Mus musculus: one gene and its partner. Each later gene encodes a partner of the first gene's protein in a complex. Links are inferred from orthologs where the notes say so. Each region holds a gene or a part of one and is shown on either strand. Other genes may lie near its edges.

What was found. Proteins that work in one complex are often made in the same cells at the same time.
Region 2: the proteins of Kpnb1 (region 1) and Pthlh are in contact, whole or in part, in a crystal structure (PDB 1M5N), measured with the Homo sapiens proteins. The link is inferred for Mus musculus from reciprocal best matches to the Homo sapiens genes KPNB1 and PTHLH. Residues at the interface, in NP_002256.2 of Homo sapiens: Val55, Tyr104, Pro106, Gln111, Glu152, Tyr156, Gln159, Asn196, Leu199, Asn200, Gln239, Glu274, Gln278, Glu281, Asp288, Ile295, Ser298, Glu299, Asp339, Asp340, Trp342, Val350, Met353, Glu395, Trp430, Arg434, Glu437, Asn469, Trp472; in NP_945316.1 of Homo sapiens: Tyr103, Thr105, Gln106, Glu107, Thr108, Asn109, Lys110, Val111, Glu112, Thr113, Tyr114, Lys120, Thr121, Pro122, Gly123, Lys124, Lys125, Lys126, Lys127, Lys129.

The regions. Positions count from the first base shown.
Region 1 is NC_000077.6:97,170,765-97,174,410, reverse strand, and holds part of Kpnb1 (importin subunit beta-1), read left to right. Parts: intron 1-1,133; coding exon 1,134-1,358; intron 1,359-2,697; coding exon 2,698-2,889; intron 2,890-3,646.
Region 2 is NC_000072.6:147,261,206-147,265,324, forward strand, and holds the start of Pthlh (parathyroid hormone-related protein preproprotein), read right to left. Parts: upstream 2,809-4,119; 5' UTR 2,380-2,808; intron 2,191-2,379; 5' UTR 2,166-2,190; coding exon 2,065-2,165; intron 1-2,064. UniProt on the Homo sapiens protein: Neuroendocrine peptide which is a critical regulator of cellular and organ growth, development, migration, differentiation and survival and of epithelial calcium ion transport.

The DNA.
Region 1 (3,646 bases):
AGCACTGGATTTTATACCACTGCTCTCCTCACTTTATCCATTGCATTGTTTCCTGTTATCATGTTTATGAACTGTTACTAAGAGAATCTCGCAGTGTCCTGTGTGACTCTGAGCTGTGAAGTATTCTGTGCCGGAATGTACATGTTTCTCGGTGCATATCAGTCTCAGAGTTTGTTAGGAATATGCAAGTTTAATAGCTTTGACCCTTTTTTTTAAATGTATGTCTCTGTGTGTGTTGCTTCCATATGTCTGTACACCATTTGTGTGGCTGCTATTCTTGGAGGCCTAGAGAGGGTATCAGGTCTGGAGCTAGTAGCTATTGAAGACAAGCCCCTCTACATCTCTCCAGCATCTGCAATGCTTACCAGGAATGCCTTTACTTTTGAATATATTTGCTATATTTTTTCCTCCTGAACAGACTTTTTTTTTTTCTTTTTTGAGACAGGGTTGCATGTATCACAGGCTTATCTCAAACTTGATATATACTTTGACCCTTTTTCCACCTACCAGTGTTGGAGTTACAGGGGTGTTGTAGCATGGCTGCTATATGTATTGTTGACAACCAGTCTCAGGCTTTGCAAGCCCTCTACCAACAGCTACATTTCCACCTGCTGTTGGTTTGAGACAGGATCGTTGTACACCTGGTTAGTCTCAAACTAAGATAGTCCTCTTTCCTCAGGCTCTTAAGTCTTACTTTTACAGGTGTGCTCCACCAGCCTGGGCATTCTTATAGGTAGTGGAGGTTTCTTAATTCTATTGTACATGATAATTGTATTCTTCCATCTGTTTCTTGGGGTGACGTAGGTTATGCTGTGATGAAATGTGAAAAAAGTTTTTTGTTTTTTTAAATCAGTGTTTTATATTTTACTCCCTGATTAAGCTCTAATGATACTTGGGAGTATATAGCAAGCCTTCTAAGTGAATTCATTGCAAGAAAAGCTTACTTAGGCTGGGCGTGGTGGCGCACGCCTTTAATCCCAGCACTGGGGAGGCAGAGACAGGTGGATTTCTGAGTTTGAGGCCAGCCTGGTTGCAGGACAGCCAGGGCTACACAGAGAAATCCTGTCTCAAAAAAAAAAAAAAAAAAAAAAAAAAGCAAAGCAAAGCTTACGTAGTGCCACATCTGTCACCAGGATGAAAACGATGACGACGATGACTGGAACCCTTGCAAAGCAGCTGGGGTGTGCCTCATGCTCCTGTCCACCTGCTGTGAAGATGACATTGTGCCGCATGTCCTTCCCTTTATTAAAGAGCACATCAAGAACCCTGACTGGCGATACCGGGATGCAGCAGTGATGGCTTTTGGCAGTATCTTGGAAGGACCAGAGCCTAATCAACTGAAACCATTAGTCATACAGGTAAAGCCCGGGGAAGTTTTAGATTTGAAATGGAATGGGGGTGGAGAGTGCGCACATGTAATATATGTGTGACTCTAAATAATCACAAAGATTTCCAAATAATTGAATGGTTCGTAGCACAGGCCTACAAACCCAAATCACACATTCTTGTGGGGATTAACAGGTCAGTTGCTCAAGGGTGCCACCCTTAACTGGATAATAGTGAGACCATCCTATGCTATGCAATACATTTCCTGTCTTAGTATAGTTTCTTGTCATTAATGGTGAAATATATAACTTTTAAAATTTAGTCATGACCAAGAAACTTGAAAAAAAGAAAAGGCTTTACCTTATATCTCTTAACTTAGCACTTGTTTTCTGTAATTTTTGGAGAGCAGGATATGGAGCTCTCACTATGAAGATTGTCTTACCAGGATCTTTTCTTATTTTCTTTTTTTTAAATGCTACATTGTAAGCATTTTCCTGTTGCTTTTGGACTGGAGAGCCTCCACATATATCCCAGGGTAGCCTACTGCCTCAGCCTGTGAGTGCTGCCATATCCACTAGCTCTGAGCTCCAGGGCTCACAACGAATGTCTTCACTCAGCCTTCTAAGCAAATGGGAATTATACTGTGCAGTGCTTAGCCATTTACTCTGTGTTTGTTTGTTTGTTTGTTTGTTTGTTTGTTTGTTTAGGGTCCTGTGTGTTGGGCCTTAAATCAGGATGTGGGGTGATGCTGGCCTTGAACTCCAGATTTTTCTACTTCCACTACCCAAGTGTTGGGTAGATAGGCTCACCCCCCCATTTCTATAATTTTTAATGGTATTATTCTAGTCTTTGAACAAAATTTACATTATGTAATGTAGTCTTTCTTATGGAAATATTTTTATTTTGCTGGTATAAATGACAGAAGAGCTCATGGTAATTTAATTTTGTGCATAAAGAACTGAGTCTGTCAGGATAGAAGCCAGTGCCACTGTGATCACTTCTTGTCTTTACCTGTTCCATATAGACTGCTTGAAAGTATCCACTACAATCTTGAATCATATATGGAATTTGGTGAAGGGAAAGAACATTTTAAACTGTTTTGTTTACTGTTATTATTTTGTTTTACAAAGGATCTAAGAACATTCTATCATTATATGGGGCCAGGGATTGTTACTATTTCACATGAGGTCTTTGTAACTCAGGCTGGCATCAAACCTGGTACATACATAACACATACTAGCCACGGGTGCCCTTCGCTGCCCTTAGATCCCAAGTGCTGCAGATACAGGCATGTGCCACAATGCCCGTGAGTATTTCTTCTGAATGATAGTCGTTATGAATTCCTTTTGTTTTGCTTTATTGTATTTACAGGCTATGCCCACCCTAATAGAACTAATGAAAGACCCCAGTGTAGTTGTTCGAGACACAACAGCGTGGACTGTGGGCAGGATCTGTGAGCTGCTGCCTGAAGCCGCCATCAACGATGTCTACCTGGCACCCCTTTTACAGTGTCTGATTGAGGGCCTCAGTGCTGAGCCCAGGGTGGCTTCAAATGTGTGCTGGGTAAGGGATTTTCTTCCTGGTGAAGGCAGGAGCTTGTCCGAGCCATTAGGAGGTGTGGGAGAGAAAGGTTACTTGTCTCATTGAAAGGCGTGCTCTGAGTTCTGTCTCTTAATGTCTTGAGAAGCCAGAGGGAACTGTACTCCGATTCGTTCCCAGAGCACTTGGACTGCACCTGCTGTACTCCTATGCTTGTTTTTAGATGAAAAGCTTTGTTTAAATGGGGTTTTTTGTTTTTATAACAAGGAAAAAGACAGGGATGAAAGCCAAAGGGGGTAGGCAGCCTCTGTGCTGACTCTGTAGGCTGTGTAACTTACTGGGGATAGAGTTTGGGAAAGGAGGAGTGGGGCTAAAATCCTGTGGTCTGTGTGTGTTTGAGACAGTTTTTCTATATAGCCCCGACTGTCTTAGAACTCAGTCTGTAGACGAGACAGGTCTTGAACTCACAGAGATCTGCCTGCCTCTGCTTCCATCACCCGGCTAAAATCCTTTTTTAAGAGTGTAAGAATAGGAAATGGTAGGCCTTAGTAAAAGAATTCTGCCACTTAGAGAGCTGGGCAGATGACTAGGCATCCACAGTATAAATACTTGAGGTATATGAGTGTTTGGTCTGTATGCATTTATATATTCCTTGTATCTGGCTGGTTCCAACCCCTGGAACTGGAATTACGTGTAGTTGTAAGCCAACTGTGGGTGCTCGGGACTAAACCTGGATCCTCTCTGCAGGACAGCAAGTGTGCTCTCCCATACTTAAATTTTC
Region 2 (4,119 bases), on another chromosome or scaffold:
CCAATGGTGTAGGAAGCACACCGACAATAGTCTCCTGTCTCTAAAGAGGTACCAATCTTTAGCTTAAAAAAACAAAATCAATATATCTTAAGCAGTGTTCCTAAAATTGGATATTACAATTTGACGGTAAGTTAGAATTTCTTTCATGGAGCTAGCCTGATCTTGGGAAGTAGTCCATAAATGTTTTGTCCAGCATGTGTGCAAAAATAAAGAGTTTTTAAAAACCCTCCATTTGGCTATGATGATTTTAACTCCCTCAAAAAAAAAAAAAACCTCCATTGTGATGTGATGTGCTATTAAGCATTAGGTGTGGTAGTGAGTATCTCACAGTTTTATTAACCATGGCCAAGTGTGAGCGTTTAACTACACTATTATATTTCACCTACAAACAGAACGAGAGCAGAGTCCCTAGCTGCCGAATGGTTTCTGAGGAGTAGTTCTATAATATGCAACAAAGAAAGAGTTAAAAACAGCTGTAAGGACAGCTTAGTGCTATTTTTATTCCGTCATTGTAGACTCAAGCATGGCTCATTTACTCTCTCTCAAAAGAGAAAATAGGTATTAAGCAACTTTAAAGAAAAAGTTGGCTCTGTTCCAAGACAGAAATTCTTATCCAAATAAATACAGTATGTAAGTGTGCTTTTTTTAAAAAAAAATTTCAGCTCATCTGTATTTATATTTGGATGTTAGGTAATTGAATTTCACACAAGTCTCAAAAATGAGGGAAAAGTCTCAAGACAATTTCGAGAAGTAAGCCAGCAGTGCACTCACTCTTGGGACAATGCTGCCTTATCTCCAGTACAATGCTCTACACAACTTGCCTTAGGAGATTCATAATAGAGTTTCATTTTCGTGCCAAGATCCAGACATGTCTAAAGTAATTTCATTTAAAGATTTTCTGCCGAACTAATAAGAATAGACCAGAAGCAGGCGCTGAACAGTCGCCTTTTTGTATACCCTCGGGAGTTTACAAGAAGCACCAGGAACCTGACTGTAAATATTAGGTAGATATTGCTGCTTCTCTTGTGAGGTGAGCAAGTCCTCCTAATGCCTTCTCCAGAGCCAAACGACTCATTTCTTAAACTTTATGGTTTTCCCATCTTGAACAGAGTCTGTGCTAAGAGAGCAGCCCTAGACGGTATTACATCGACATCGATGAGACAGACAGATTCAAGCATGCCTACTACTTCCCAAACACTGCGGCGATATTTTGCTGGTGTTCTTAGATGTATTCTTATCTCAAAGTCAAAATCACTCTTTAAGAAATCAAAAACTCAACCACCAGCTGAGAATGCCGAACTACAAGCTTTCAGACCACAATGCAAATATTTCGACTCCGGATTAAAGAACCGTTAGCAATAATTCCAGGAAAAAGAAAGTTTCCACGCCTAAAGTCCATTTTGGAGACAAGCACACCCGCCTTCCTGAATGGTATCGATACTAAAGTTGGACGTTTGCCATTAAAAAGTTGTTACTACTAAATTATATAATATGCTTTGTTATGTAACACAGTCCTGTTTTATATGCTTAAAATTATGTCATTCATAATAAAACTAGACACAACGTTTTTGCTTTTCACACACAGACTGCCACCCACATTTAGACATATCCACTCGCTTGTGTGCGCGCACACACACACACAGACACAGACACACAGACACACACACAGACACACACACAGACACACACAGACACACACAGACACACACAGAGGCACACAGACAGTTCCTGAATCCCCCAGTTTCCTGCTGAGTTTCAGAACCTCTCGGTGGATAAAGTAACTTTGGTGGTTCCCTGCAGACAGATATCTTGCCGGCCCAGGTTCTGAAAAAGACTCCCTCTTATGGAAAGGCACATCAAACTTGTTTCGTGCCTGTCCATTTTGGGGTCTCACCAGCTCTCTAGATGGCTTTCCTGGGCTCAGCCCCTTGCTAGCAGGTACCCCGTGACTGTGTCCAACTCAGGTTGGGACCATCAGGGACCCCTAGGCTTCCTCAGCATCGCCCGCCTCAGCTGGCGCTGGTCTTCCCCACCCCTCACCCCAGGAGGAAGACCGGTACTTACAGCCTGCGGCCAAGCCCCTCCACCGAACGCCCGCGGGAGGGCACGGAGTAGCTGAGCAGGAATACCAGGACACTCCACTGCTGAACCAGCCTCCGCAGCATCGTGCCGCTCGCTGGCTCTGGGGACCTGCAAGAGTGGAACCCGAGGGTCAGTCCCGGCTCTCCATCTCTTCCTCGCACTGCCCCGCTCCCTCTTTTGGAACCCCGTGGCTTCCCAACAGCCACTCCAAAGTCGAGGGCATCTCACAAGTTAGGAGGAAAAAAGAAAACAAGAAAAAGAAAGCAAAAAAGTGTCTCCGAGCCCCTGAGCACTTACTTGTGTAGGAATCAGCGCCTCTAACTGCGCCTCTCTCAAACCGCACAGGCAAAAAGGGACCCGAGAGGGGAAAAAGCAATCAGAGAGCTTCCTCTGAAAGAAGAGCGAAAACCGGGCGTTTTACATAGGCGTCGGGGATGCGTGGCGCGTTGCTGTGGCTCCCATAGCAATGTCTAATTAGTCTTGGCGGCAGCACTCTGGGTCGTGGGGCAGGTCAAACCCCTCTTCAAACGCGGGTGTTCCTCAGGAGTCAGCTGTCCTGCGCACCGGGCCTCTGGGTGCACAGCCACTTGCGGCAGAGCGCGTATATATACATAGCTGTCGGTCTACCTCCTTCGGTGGGCTGGTTGCTTCCGGAAAGTTGATTCCACAACGCCCTTGAACAAGTTGCAGGCGCGCGTGTCGTGGATGCGAGGGCCAGGTGGCCGCGAGGGCGGGTTCCGGCAGCGGGGCGGAGCGGCCCAGCTGGGGCGGCGCAGGTTGGAGAGTAGCTGTGAGCCCAGCCCTGGAAGGTTCACACGCTCCGGGGCCAACCTGCTGAGAAGTGAGCGAGTCGCAAAGAGGTGGCGCCCGAGGAACGCGCGCCGGCGGAGCAGGCAGGGGTGAGCGGGCCGGCGGGGGCGGGGAGCACAGGGGAGCCCGGAGCCACGGAGCCCCACCCCAGTCCTGGCCCGCGTGGGCCGATCTGACGCTCTCCTCCTCCTGAACCGGCCTGCTGTCGCCTGAGTGGCAGGTCCAGGAGTCCAGGTCCCTACAAACAGCAAGGAGGAACCCCGGGTGGCCTGAGAATCCCAAGAGTCCCAAGCTCGCTTGCAAGCTCGCATTGCACTGCATTCCTGCCTGGTGTGGCCTTCTCCTGGGGAGGGGACTAAACCTAGCACCCAGAAGAGCAAAGGCGATTTTGGGTCTTACTGTTTGGGAAGGGTTGGGGACATCACGTCTGGAGCAGGTCCTAGAACGGGTGTGTGAGCAAGGAAGAAGACCCACTTTGTGATCACAGACGACCTGGAATGCGCAGAGTCCTTCTTTCTCACCTTCTTCTGATAACCTACTCTATGTCCTGATAAAGATTCACTGAGTGCCCATTTGCTTCAGCTTCTCAGTGCTGCTGGGCAGGGAGTGGGGGTGGGGGGTGGGGGAGAAAGTTGTGAGTTACTGATTGTGGGTCTAGAGGTGTGTGTGTGTGTGTGTGTGTGTGTGTGTGTGTGTGTGTGTGTGTGAATACTAGTTTCCCCCCAGGTCCTAGATCACGCTGAAATGAACATGGGAACCACTCAAAGAAGTTTGCCTTCTAGACAATACTGCTGGAAAATTTCATCTGACTCTCTAGGAGGCTAGTGTCACTCAAAGACCTTTGTCAGACCTGGGCTGTGATGCTCTACAGACTTCTGGGGTGGGTACTCCTAGGACTTCTCACCCCTCCCCTCCCCTAAGCCTTGCTGCTCGCCAGCAGTTAAAGCTTTCAGCTGTCTTGGGCGGGGTTCCCTCTCATCAGAAGCCCTTGTCTCTTTCCCTTGATTCCTTTAAACTTCATACTTGTAAAAAAAAAAAAAAAGTTGGCTTCTTCCCACCTTAAAAAGAAACCCGGGAATTTCCATAACGTCCTTTAAGTGGTTAAGAATTTGTAACTGTTAGACATGTTTACATGGCACGAAAAGAGAAAGTTTGAACCTGTGACACTCTGTGATAACCCTTCCCCAAAGATGCTGGAGCCCTAATTGATCTGGAGTGGGGAGCCCC